Kluyveromyces lactis: one gene and its partners. The protein of the gene in region 1 interacts with the protein of each later gene in a biochemical or structural test. Links are inferred from orthologs where the notes say so. Each region holds a gene or a part of one and is shown on either strand. Other genes may lie near its edges. The genes, in order: RFA2, RFA3 and IME2.

Region 1 (2,742 bases):
CAAATGCTGCAGAAATTGTTTCTTATGCACGTACACAAGCTACACTCAGAAGATCTGCAACCTCATCTCGTAGAAGAAAGAGAGATGAGGAAAAGGCTATTAAGGATAAAGAGGAAGAAGAGAAGCAAAAGGCAGTCCAAAAGAAAAAGAAGGAAAAGGTTAACCAACTTACTGATGTTTTAGAGCAAGTAAAGAAAGAATATGGTGCTGATATCAAAGAAGAGCATGTCAAAGCCTTAACCGATACCTTAATAAACGGAAACTTCGAAGATGGGAAATGGGATGAAGTCATCGGTACCATCTTTAACGACGAATTCTACAACCAGGAAGATAAACCAACATGGGATGAGAATGACGATATCATGGGAGAGTTTTATGCTGAACAGGAAACCGAGGATCATGCGGAAGACGATGAGACCTTGGCATCAGACTCTGGAGAGCCAAAAAAGAAGAAATCAAAGAAGGACAAGATACAAGAGAAGAGAGACAAAAAAAAAGATAAGAAGCAGTTACATGAGATGGTAGAAAAAGCAGTCGACGAACGTAAGGTAGACATCATAGAGCAGGTGGAAGAAGAAAGAGGACGTTCGACAGAGAAAAATTCTGAAGTTAAGTTTAGATACCGTGAAGTGTCTCCAGAATCATTCGGATTGACTACGCGAGAAATATTCACAGCTGATGACGCCGATCTAAATGAGTTTATCGGCTTGAAGAAGTTTGCACCATATAGACCAAAAGAACTGACGTCAAAGGATAGAAGAAAGGTTACTAAGAGCAGGCGACTAAGGGAATGGAGAAAGAAAGTTTTCAATACCGAAGAAGGCCTCACCGGTGATGAATTAGCAATTCCTCTGAACGACGGTGAAGCTCATCAAACCTCTAAAGAAAAGGAAAGATTGAAGAATAAGAAGAGAAAGAGAAGAGATTAAAGATTAACTTATTCAGCATTATTTAGTTAACTTACATATAAATATTATTGTAATCATCAAATTCCATCCTAATGTTGCTGCCGAGAGGAAATTAAACTTGGTTACAGTATCCTTTCTTGCCACATATTTGCATTATTCTTTGTCCTTGTATACTGTGCTAAGATTTCTGCCATACTAATTCTTTATTTATATTACCCTGCCAAACACGAACCAAATCTTTGAAAGGGAAAACGCGTAACTTATTCATAATCTTCTGAAGAGAGGATATGAGCTTTGTGAATGGCAAAACTGATATTCAATGGAGGATAACCAAGAACTGGGTTATCTTCGGCAGAAGGAGTCAATAAACAGAAGCTAAAGAAAACTGACACAATGACCAGTACGTTACGATGTTTTTCCGAAACTATTTATTTAGGTTCAGTCTTGTTCCCATTACTAACACTTTCAATAAAACTAATCACCACTCCTCCTTTATCCAGCTTATCATCCATATAATGAATATTCTAATATTAATGCTGGTGGATTTGATAACTCAGATCCAAGCCAATCTTCCAGACCAAATTCCGGTGGACAAAATGCCAACACTTTGACTCCTGTGACAATTAAACAGATGCAATCCGCAAAGCAACAAATTCAAGATGGACCATACGTTATAATGGGTCAAGAACTTCACCATGTGTCATTTGTTGGTGTCATTAGAAACGTTGCTGATAATACATCGAATGTTACTCTTACAGTTGAAGATGGGACTGGGCAAATCGAATTCCGAAAATGGACTAATGATAGCAATGATATGTCGCACGCCTCTCAAGAGGACCAAAATGGTGATTATAACTCGCAAGTAGCACAAGACTACTCGGTAGGGAAATACATCAAGGTATACGCTTCTCTAAGAGAATTCAGTGGTAAGATGAATGTACAATACGCTGTAGTAAAGCATATTGATTCATTCAATGAAATTCTAGCACATCACCTGGAGGTAATTAAGGCATTTGCTGTGGCTAACGGTAACTTGAGTGTTGACTCAACGGTGGCAGTTAACGGAGCTAATACTGAAACCAATAGTTTATTTGTACAAGATAACGAGCCTCCAAAATCAGCCACTGAAAAAGTTTTGGATTTTATCAGAGCCCAGTGCGCTGGCAAGGATTCAAACTCTTTCTCTGTGCAGACTAAACTTATCTCTCAATCTTTGAACATGATTGAAGATGATGTCAGAATGTATTGTCAAACTCTAACAGAACAAGGTTACATATACCCTACCTTCGACGAGTTCACCTTCTTTATCTTATAATTTTTTACATATTTTTGTGTATAAGTTCGATTTCAACATCATAATTATCATTTTAAAAAAGTACTTTCATTTTGGGCGACGAATCAGCAGTTATGATCCCAAATATATCATTGGCATCTGTACTGAACTACGTTGTGTCACCTTAGCTATATTAAGATGACGCGGTTATTCTATGTGTTATTTTATTTACTATTTTTTCATATATATGTTGGTAATTGGCTGCGTCAGTGACAGATTATAATATAAGAAATATAAACACAAAAATTCATATCTGCAATCATACAAGATGCAGAAATCTCAGTGAAGCCTGATATCCCTGCAACAATCAACACAGAATTTAGAAATAAACATACACATTCAAGAAAATGCATAGATTGATAATAGGTGTACTTTTCTTTGTCTCCTCTGTTTTAGCTGATATACACCCCATAGAAATTCGAGGAAAACACTTTTATGATTCTGTCACAGATGAACCATTCTTTATAAGAGGTATTGACTATCAACCAGGTGGATCTAGTG
Region 2 (2,438 bases), on another chromosome or scaffold:
CAAACTGGGATCAGAAGGTACGCTCCAATGCAGACCCAACCAGGAACTGCAATTACAGTAACAACATGGTCCAGAAGGTACGCAACGAGTGCAGTCACCTACTATACCAGTCTTCGGAACTCACTGGAACAAATGACCACTTACACCCCGGGTTGGTCCTACTCAAGAACTTCTGACTACAACTATGCAACTCCTGCGCCATTCCCCTCTGATAACGGTGGTTGGTATGACCCAACTGATAGACAAACATTAACCACCAGAAAACTGAACAACAAGAGAAGGTAAAAAGGTGATGATCCAATTATGATACAATCGTGCATGCATGCCCCTAGGGCTACTCTAATAACAATTTATTTTTTTTTGGTTGGCTTTCTGTTTAAGGATTACAAGAGATATTTTGGGTTTCCGTAATACTGCCTTCATATAAATATACTTATACAAATCAAAAAAAAAACACACACACTCATATATTTATAATTCTTTCCAGTTTTGTCCTCTCACCATCCTCCCCTCTTTTCAAACGTAAAAACTTAGTACAAATCTGGGAACTTGCCACTCAATTGTTGTAATGCAACTATACCAGAAACACTGATCTCTTCACCTTCTTTCAGCTCACATTTCACAGAATCAAGCACCATCAACCCAATATCACCGGTATCGACATTTCTGCAAACAAATTCGTACCAGGATCCAACCTCAATGTTACTTCCTTGTGACAGTTTCACTTGTGATAGCGTTATCATTTCTCCATTGGTTGTTGGAGATTGTAGGATTAACTCTTTTGGTTGTGGTTGATCTAACACCTTGGCTATGATACGAAACACTGAGTGCTGAGTATTGCTTATTTGGCTCGGGTCAATTCTTGGCGTTTGGTTGGACATCACTAGCGGTTGTTGGTTGCTGGTTGCTGCTGTTAAAGATGAGTCTGCTGTAATGACAAGTTCACGCGTTTTAACAAGATGCATTTAATATACAGAAATATAAATAAATTGATAACACAGGTTTTCGTGTGCAACTTTGTGACCGGGTAACATACAATTGGAAATTTTTCTTTTGATTTCATGACAACGGTCACGTGAACGCTATTTTTTCTTTCTTGTCATTCCACCAATTCCCAATAGAAGATCCATGCGGCCAGAGGAATGTAATGTGCATTATGTAATGAACAGATTCCTCCATGAAAAATCCAGGTCAATTGTATCAGTCTTAAAGTATGCTGACTCGACCTCGTCTTGTTCTAAACAGGCTGGAATTTGCCCATTTTTTTCGATATCCTCTCTGCCTTTTTTTTTTTTTTGCCCAAGCTTAGAAGTTGTCAGCTGCATGCTTCATGCTGGCTGCATAAAATATCAGCAAGATTATTCTCGGTCTTCGGTGCCTCTAAACGTACATACGGAAACAGAGTACAACAGAGGTACGGTATACCTGGATGTGTTCTTATAATGCACATATATATAGGTAAGTAGGTAAGTAATATGGTTTGTCAATCCACGGGCTTGTCCCACTTTTGGCTCTGGCATTTTGCTGCATCTTGGAACGCATTTATTTTCAATTGTTCTTTAGTCTCGAGAAGTCCCTTTTTTTTTGATAATTAAAATTTTAAAGATAATCAGCTCATCTTTAAGGCACACAGGTGGATAACAAGTGGATACCCTTGCTTTAGAATCGTATTAAACTCTATTGTAGGGTTCGTGTATTATCAAGGGCTCTAAAAGAAATATGGCAGACGAGAAACGTGATAAGCAGCCGGTGAAAGGCTCCAGTTCGAAGACTTTGGTTCTTCTATTGGCTTCGCTCTTTTTAGCGGGTTTTGGGTATTTGCTCCATAACCAGAATTACGACATCGAACAAGTCAAATCGTTGGTTGACCAGCATTTCAGTAATACGTTTGGAACTTCCATTGGAAAATTGGTAGTTGAAGAAGAAAATGATGATGATGAGATTGATTTTGACTCTGTATGCTTGAAGACAGAGCCAATTAGCCCATCCGGTGAGAGCTCCATAGAGAAGATTTTGAACGATGCTGAGTATAAGAAATTAGCTATTGAAAAGCTATCCGGTGCCTTGCAAATTCCTACTGAGATTCAAGACGTCAACCCTAGACCAAAGGATAATATTGAATATTATTCGGAGTTCTTTAAATTTCACAAATATTTGGAAGAACAGTATCCATTGGTTCATAAACATTTAAAGAAGGAATTGGTTAACGAGGTTGGATTGGTTTATACCTGGGCTGGTTCCAACGCGGATTTGAAACCTGTTATGTTCACTGCACACCAAGATGTTGTGCCAGTGAACCGTGACACTTGGGGTGCTTGGAAGTTCCCTCCGTTCAGTGGACATTACGATGAGAAGACTGATACCATTTGGGGTAGAGGTGCAATTGATTGTAAGAATCTCTTGCTAGGTGAATTGGCTGCCATTGAACATTTATTATC
Region 3 (4,335 bases), on another chromosome or scaffold:
CAATAATTAACATATTGTCGTACTTCATCCAATTTACACATAAATGATTCATTTACTGCCATAAGGGGGGCAGGGCGTTTCTACTGAAGCTATTAAAGGAAATTCGGTATTATCTATATCGGTAAGTTTAGCCGCCATATTTTCTTGAAAAATTTTCCTTTCAGTTGTTGTAGCCAAACTGTGGGGAAGGGAGAACTATGGTCAGAAGCGATCGCAATGTTTACCACTCACATCATGACGTGCAATAGGTGCGCCATATTGGGTCATATATAAATTACTAGTATACTTAAATTTTTGTCGGTACTTCTTAGCAGAATCTCTAGTGGGCCCCAATCTTTTCGGCGCTTACACTGCAGAATTCGGCAAATGCTGCATTTTCGGTAAATGTGCCTGTACTTAACCCCTTTATATCCAAATTATTCGATTGATCTATTAATACATAGGTTAGTATGTACATATCTTCCGCTCCCATCCTGTCCCGTTTAATTCCCGTAGCCAATCTTGCCGAACCTTTCTTCCCCTTAATCTAACTCTCTAGAAGTTGTTCGTGCCCGGTAATATTTGGAGGGGTACAATCCGATCATTTTAAAGTATATGGAGAATCAATTAATAAATTAGATTTTTAATGGTTTGTATATTGAGTTTCCCTTATCGTAGACTCACCCCTCCCCTATACCGCTATACATGGATTTATCGCCTTGTACAGGAACACTTATCAGCTTGTAGATCTGGATTTTTTTTTTTATTGCTGAAAAGAAGAATACATCCTTTGCACCAGAATTAGGCGCCGACATGTTGGAATTCTTTTGTGGAATATATAAAGGATGCGTTATTCAAAGGATCTCCTTTAATTTTGAATCTTTTTGTGTTCTCATCTTCTAATTACCGTATTGCTGTCAGTTATGTGTATCTTTTTAAGTTATGTATCAATTGTGAACGAAGGAAACCACATGCATATTTGCAGCAGAAGGAACAAATTTCACACTTACTTTTACTAGGATCGATAGTGGCTAACTGAAGCTCCTGTTGTTCTGTTTTGAAGTTTTACATTGAAAAAGTGTTTTAGTATATAACAACTAGACACAGCATCGCCTTTTCACTTTTTGAGATCAAAGGTATTATCGTTGTTTGAGTTTCATTTTGAAACTGCATATTAAGAGAGTGTTAATATATCAGGATTATTGTTTTTCTGTTTTTCTATTTTTCTCGATTCTATCCTATACAGCATTATCTAAGGTGTCAGATTTCAGAGATTTCAGACATTCGATAAATTTTTTTTTTCTAAAAAAGTTAGAATAAAGAGAGCGGTACAAAAAGGCAAAAACGGCACTCAGAAGACACAAAACGAAACACTCCAATAGGTGTCAGTTTTAGGAATCCTGTAATAAAAGCCGACACAAAAAAAGCATAAGATTAGTTATAAAATCAACCAAAAAAAAAGTGCTTCTAATTTATTACCGCGTAATTGAATCTTAAAACACAAGATTAATCGTTACATTTTAAAATAAAATTCACTAGAATATTTGTCAATCAACTACTTCAATAAAGCAAAGAAGAACAAAATGCCAGCTTTAACTTTGACCACAGCAGATTCCTTCATACCCCCAGATGTTAATAACCCTCCATTCTATATTCCGCTCAAGAATATCGATGCTAGATATAACGTAATTCAGGAATTGGGGAAAGGATCCTTCGGATCTGTGACATTGGCCGAGACAATGTACGATATGAACAGTTCAGCCACCCAAATTTCCTCAATGTACCCAGAAACTTTGATGGATCAAACTCTTATCAGAAACGTCGAACAAGAAAACTGGTACTATAAGAAAAAGGGTATAGTGGCAATCAAAACAATGATGAATAGATTACCAACATTGCATGACTATACAAGAGTCAGAGAGATCAAATTCATATTGCAAATTCCTGCACACAAAAATTTGGTTACCATATACGAGATGTTCATTGATGATTCTTTGTATCACCTTCACATTGTAATGGAATGCATGGAGCAGAACATTTATCAATTGATGAAACATAGGAAAAGAAGAGTGTTTTCCCTACCTACTTTGAGGTCGATATTATTCCAAATATTAGCAGGAATTAAACATATTCATGATCACGATTTTTTCCATAGAGATATCAAACCGGAGAATATCTTGATATCGCCATCTCATAGGTACTTCAGCAAGAAATGGTTGGAAGATGATAATTATTCGGATAATTACGTGGTGAAATTGGCTGATTACGGTTTGGCAAGACATGTGAATAACAGATCACCTTATACCACCTATGTGTCGACCCGTTGGTATAGGTCACCAGAAATTCTTCTTAGAAAAGGATACTATTCCAAACCGTTGGATATTTGGGCGTATGGTTGTGTTGTTGTCGAACTAGCCACCTTTTCACCACTATTTCCCGGTTCTGACGAAACCGATCAAATATGGAGGATTCTAGATTTATTGGGCTCCCCAGATCATTCTATCAATGGAAAGGAGCACTTTGGGGGTTCATGGCTGGATTCAAAACCATTATACCAAGCTTTGAACTATGAATTCCCATACGTAGAAGGGAAAACGATAAGGGATGTTCTACCAAACCCACAATTGGAAGATCTATATGATGTGGTTACATCTTGCCTAAAGTGGAATCCAAGTGAAAGGGCTACTGCAAACGAAATATGTGCATTGCCATACTTCAAGGAATACGTGATGAGAGAAGCATCTTTGGCAAAGACAAATAACGGAACCGCATCCAAAAATAAGGATAATACAGCTTTGGCAAATAAACTTGCAGCAAATCCATCAATATCAAACCAATGGAGTCGTATTCTTTCTGGACTACCACATAACCCGGAATTGGGCATTGTTCCTAGTTTTAACTCTCCACAGAAGTTACCAAAGGTTCAAAAGAACAATCAAATGAATTGTGTAACAGATAAAAGCCAACAGCAACCGCGAAGAGGAGGAGTTGCCTCATGGTTCAAATTTTCCACGCAGAAAAACCACGTTAACATCAATCCAAATACAAACAATGATGAGAAAATCCTTACTAGTGTTAACACGAATACAAATAGCCAGAAGAATCAAGGAATTGTAGAAAAAAAACAGCAGGAACAACAGGTAAATGCTCACAACGAGAGGCTAGATAGCTCTACAAACGCTAATGGTAACAGTATTCCTGATATAAATCTCATAGGACATGCCAACAATGATAATGAGGTATTCACTATTGAGCTGGATGATAGCATGGAGACTATGACAGGATCTGATCAAATTTCTAAGGAATTAAATGACAAAATAGAGCTTTATCAAGACACCACAAATCAGATGAACCCACCAACTCTGGATGTTGATGACGATGACGATGAACATGATTCGATTGACATGGACCATGAGAATTATAGGATTCAGGTGTTGGACGAATTTGATACTGATGAGAACTTGGAACATGAAATTAGAGCGACCGACAAAGATGAAAACAATGAAGTTGCCGTTGATAAGATGAAGATCTCCAATCAAGGAGAAGACGAAGATGATGCAGATAGTCTTCTAAACTATTATCAGGATATGATGGCTAAGAAATTACCACTTAACAAAAACAAAGGTAATTACATGCATTCGAATGGACCAGCGGGTCCTACACTATCAGATCAAATGGCAATAGACGATTCACTTGATCTACAAGAACAGATCCCAAGAAATCTGCTGGAGAGGGCAGTACAGCAAAGAGTTTTAGATTGTCTTTTAGATCCATCGGAACATGCATCTCAAAACCTGATTCAAACCTCTAACTCCCACAATCATACATTCCAAGATGGATTAAGTTTCTGATCGTAGAACAAAGAACAGCAGGCTGTTCCTCTCTTTCAGTTCTACTCGTTGAAATTTCTTTCAACAACGCTTTACCTGGTCCTCTTCCCATTCATTTATACCGTTTATAATATCCACACACACACACACACATATTCACCTTTTGTACCTGCTAGCTCATAAGTTTTAACATAACTTGCTTCTATTATTTCCTTTATAACTTGTTGGATACAGGACAGAAATGCCGACAACTCTTTCACTCTATAACATGGTACTTCTACTTGATTTACCTCTTATGTACACTATTATCCTTACTGTCTTTGTTTACTATCTCAAGTTTTTTTTTTTTTTCTTGGTAAACTGTTCCTATCAGCTCCGAGGTCCGATGATTCAAAATCTTTCGAGCCATCAACTTTACATTGTACTTCAAAGTCTTTATAAAGAAGAACTTCGGTTAAGAAAGAACATAGATAATATATTCAACTATACAGCTTTCCTCACATTAGACAGGCAGCGAACCGGAAAT

What was found.
Region 2: the proteins of RFA2 (region 1) and RFA3 form a complex in vitro, tested with the Saccharomyces cerevisiae proteins (3 studies listed by BioGRID). The link is inferred for Kluyveromyces lactis from reciprocal best matches to the Saccharomyces cerevisiae genes RFA2 and RFA3.
Region 3: of the proteins of RFA2 (region 1) and IME2, one has a biochemical effect on the other in vitro, tested with the Saccharomyces cerevisiae proteins (2 studies listed by BioGRID). The link is inferred for Kluyveromyces lactis from reciprocal best matches to the Saccharomyces cerevisiae genes RFA2 and IME2.

What each region holds. Positions count from the first base shown.
Region 1 is NC_006041.1:667,388-670,129, reverse strand, and holds RFA2 (Rfa2p), read left to right. Parts: upstream 1-1,539; coding exon 1,540-2,223; downstream 2,224-2,742. Other genes in the region: KRI1 (Kri1p), read left to right, coding at 1-929; GAS4 (1,3-beta-glucanosyltransferase), read left to right, coding at 2,589-2,742. UniProt on the Saccharomyces cerevisiae protein: Binds to single-stranded sequences participating in DNA replication in addition to those mediating transcriptional repression (URS1) and activation (CAR1). Stimulates the activity of a cognate strand exchange protein (SEP1).
Region 2 is NC_006037.1:587,494-589,931, forward strand, and holds RFA3 (Rfa3p), read right to left. Parts: upstream 882-2,438; coding exon 531-881; downstream 1-530. Other genes in the region: KRE9 (Kre9p), read left to right, coding at 1-285; CPS1 (Gly-Xaa carboxypeptidase), read left to right, coding at 1,720-2,438. UniProt on the Saccharomyces cerevisiae protein: As part of the replication protein A (RPA/RP-A), a single-stranded DNA-binding heterotrimeric complex, may play an essential role in DNA replication, recombination and repair.
Region 3 is NC_006042.1:262,767-267,101, forward strand, and holds IME2 (protein kinase IME2), read left to right. Parts: upstream 1-1,562; coding exon 1,563-3,830; downstream 3,831-4,335. Other genes in the region: KLLA0_F02860g (NAD(P)/FAD-dependent oxidoreductase), read left to right, coding at 4,334-4,335. UniProt on the Saccharomyces cerevisiae protein: Protein kinase which is essential for the initiation of meiosis and sporulation.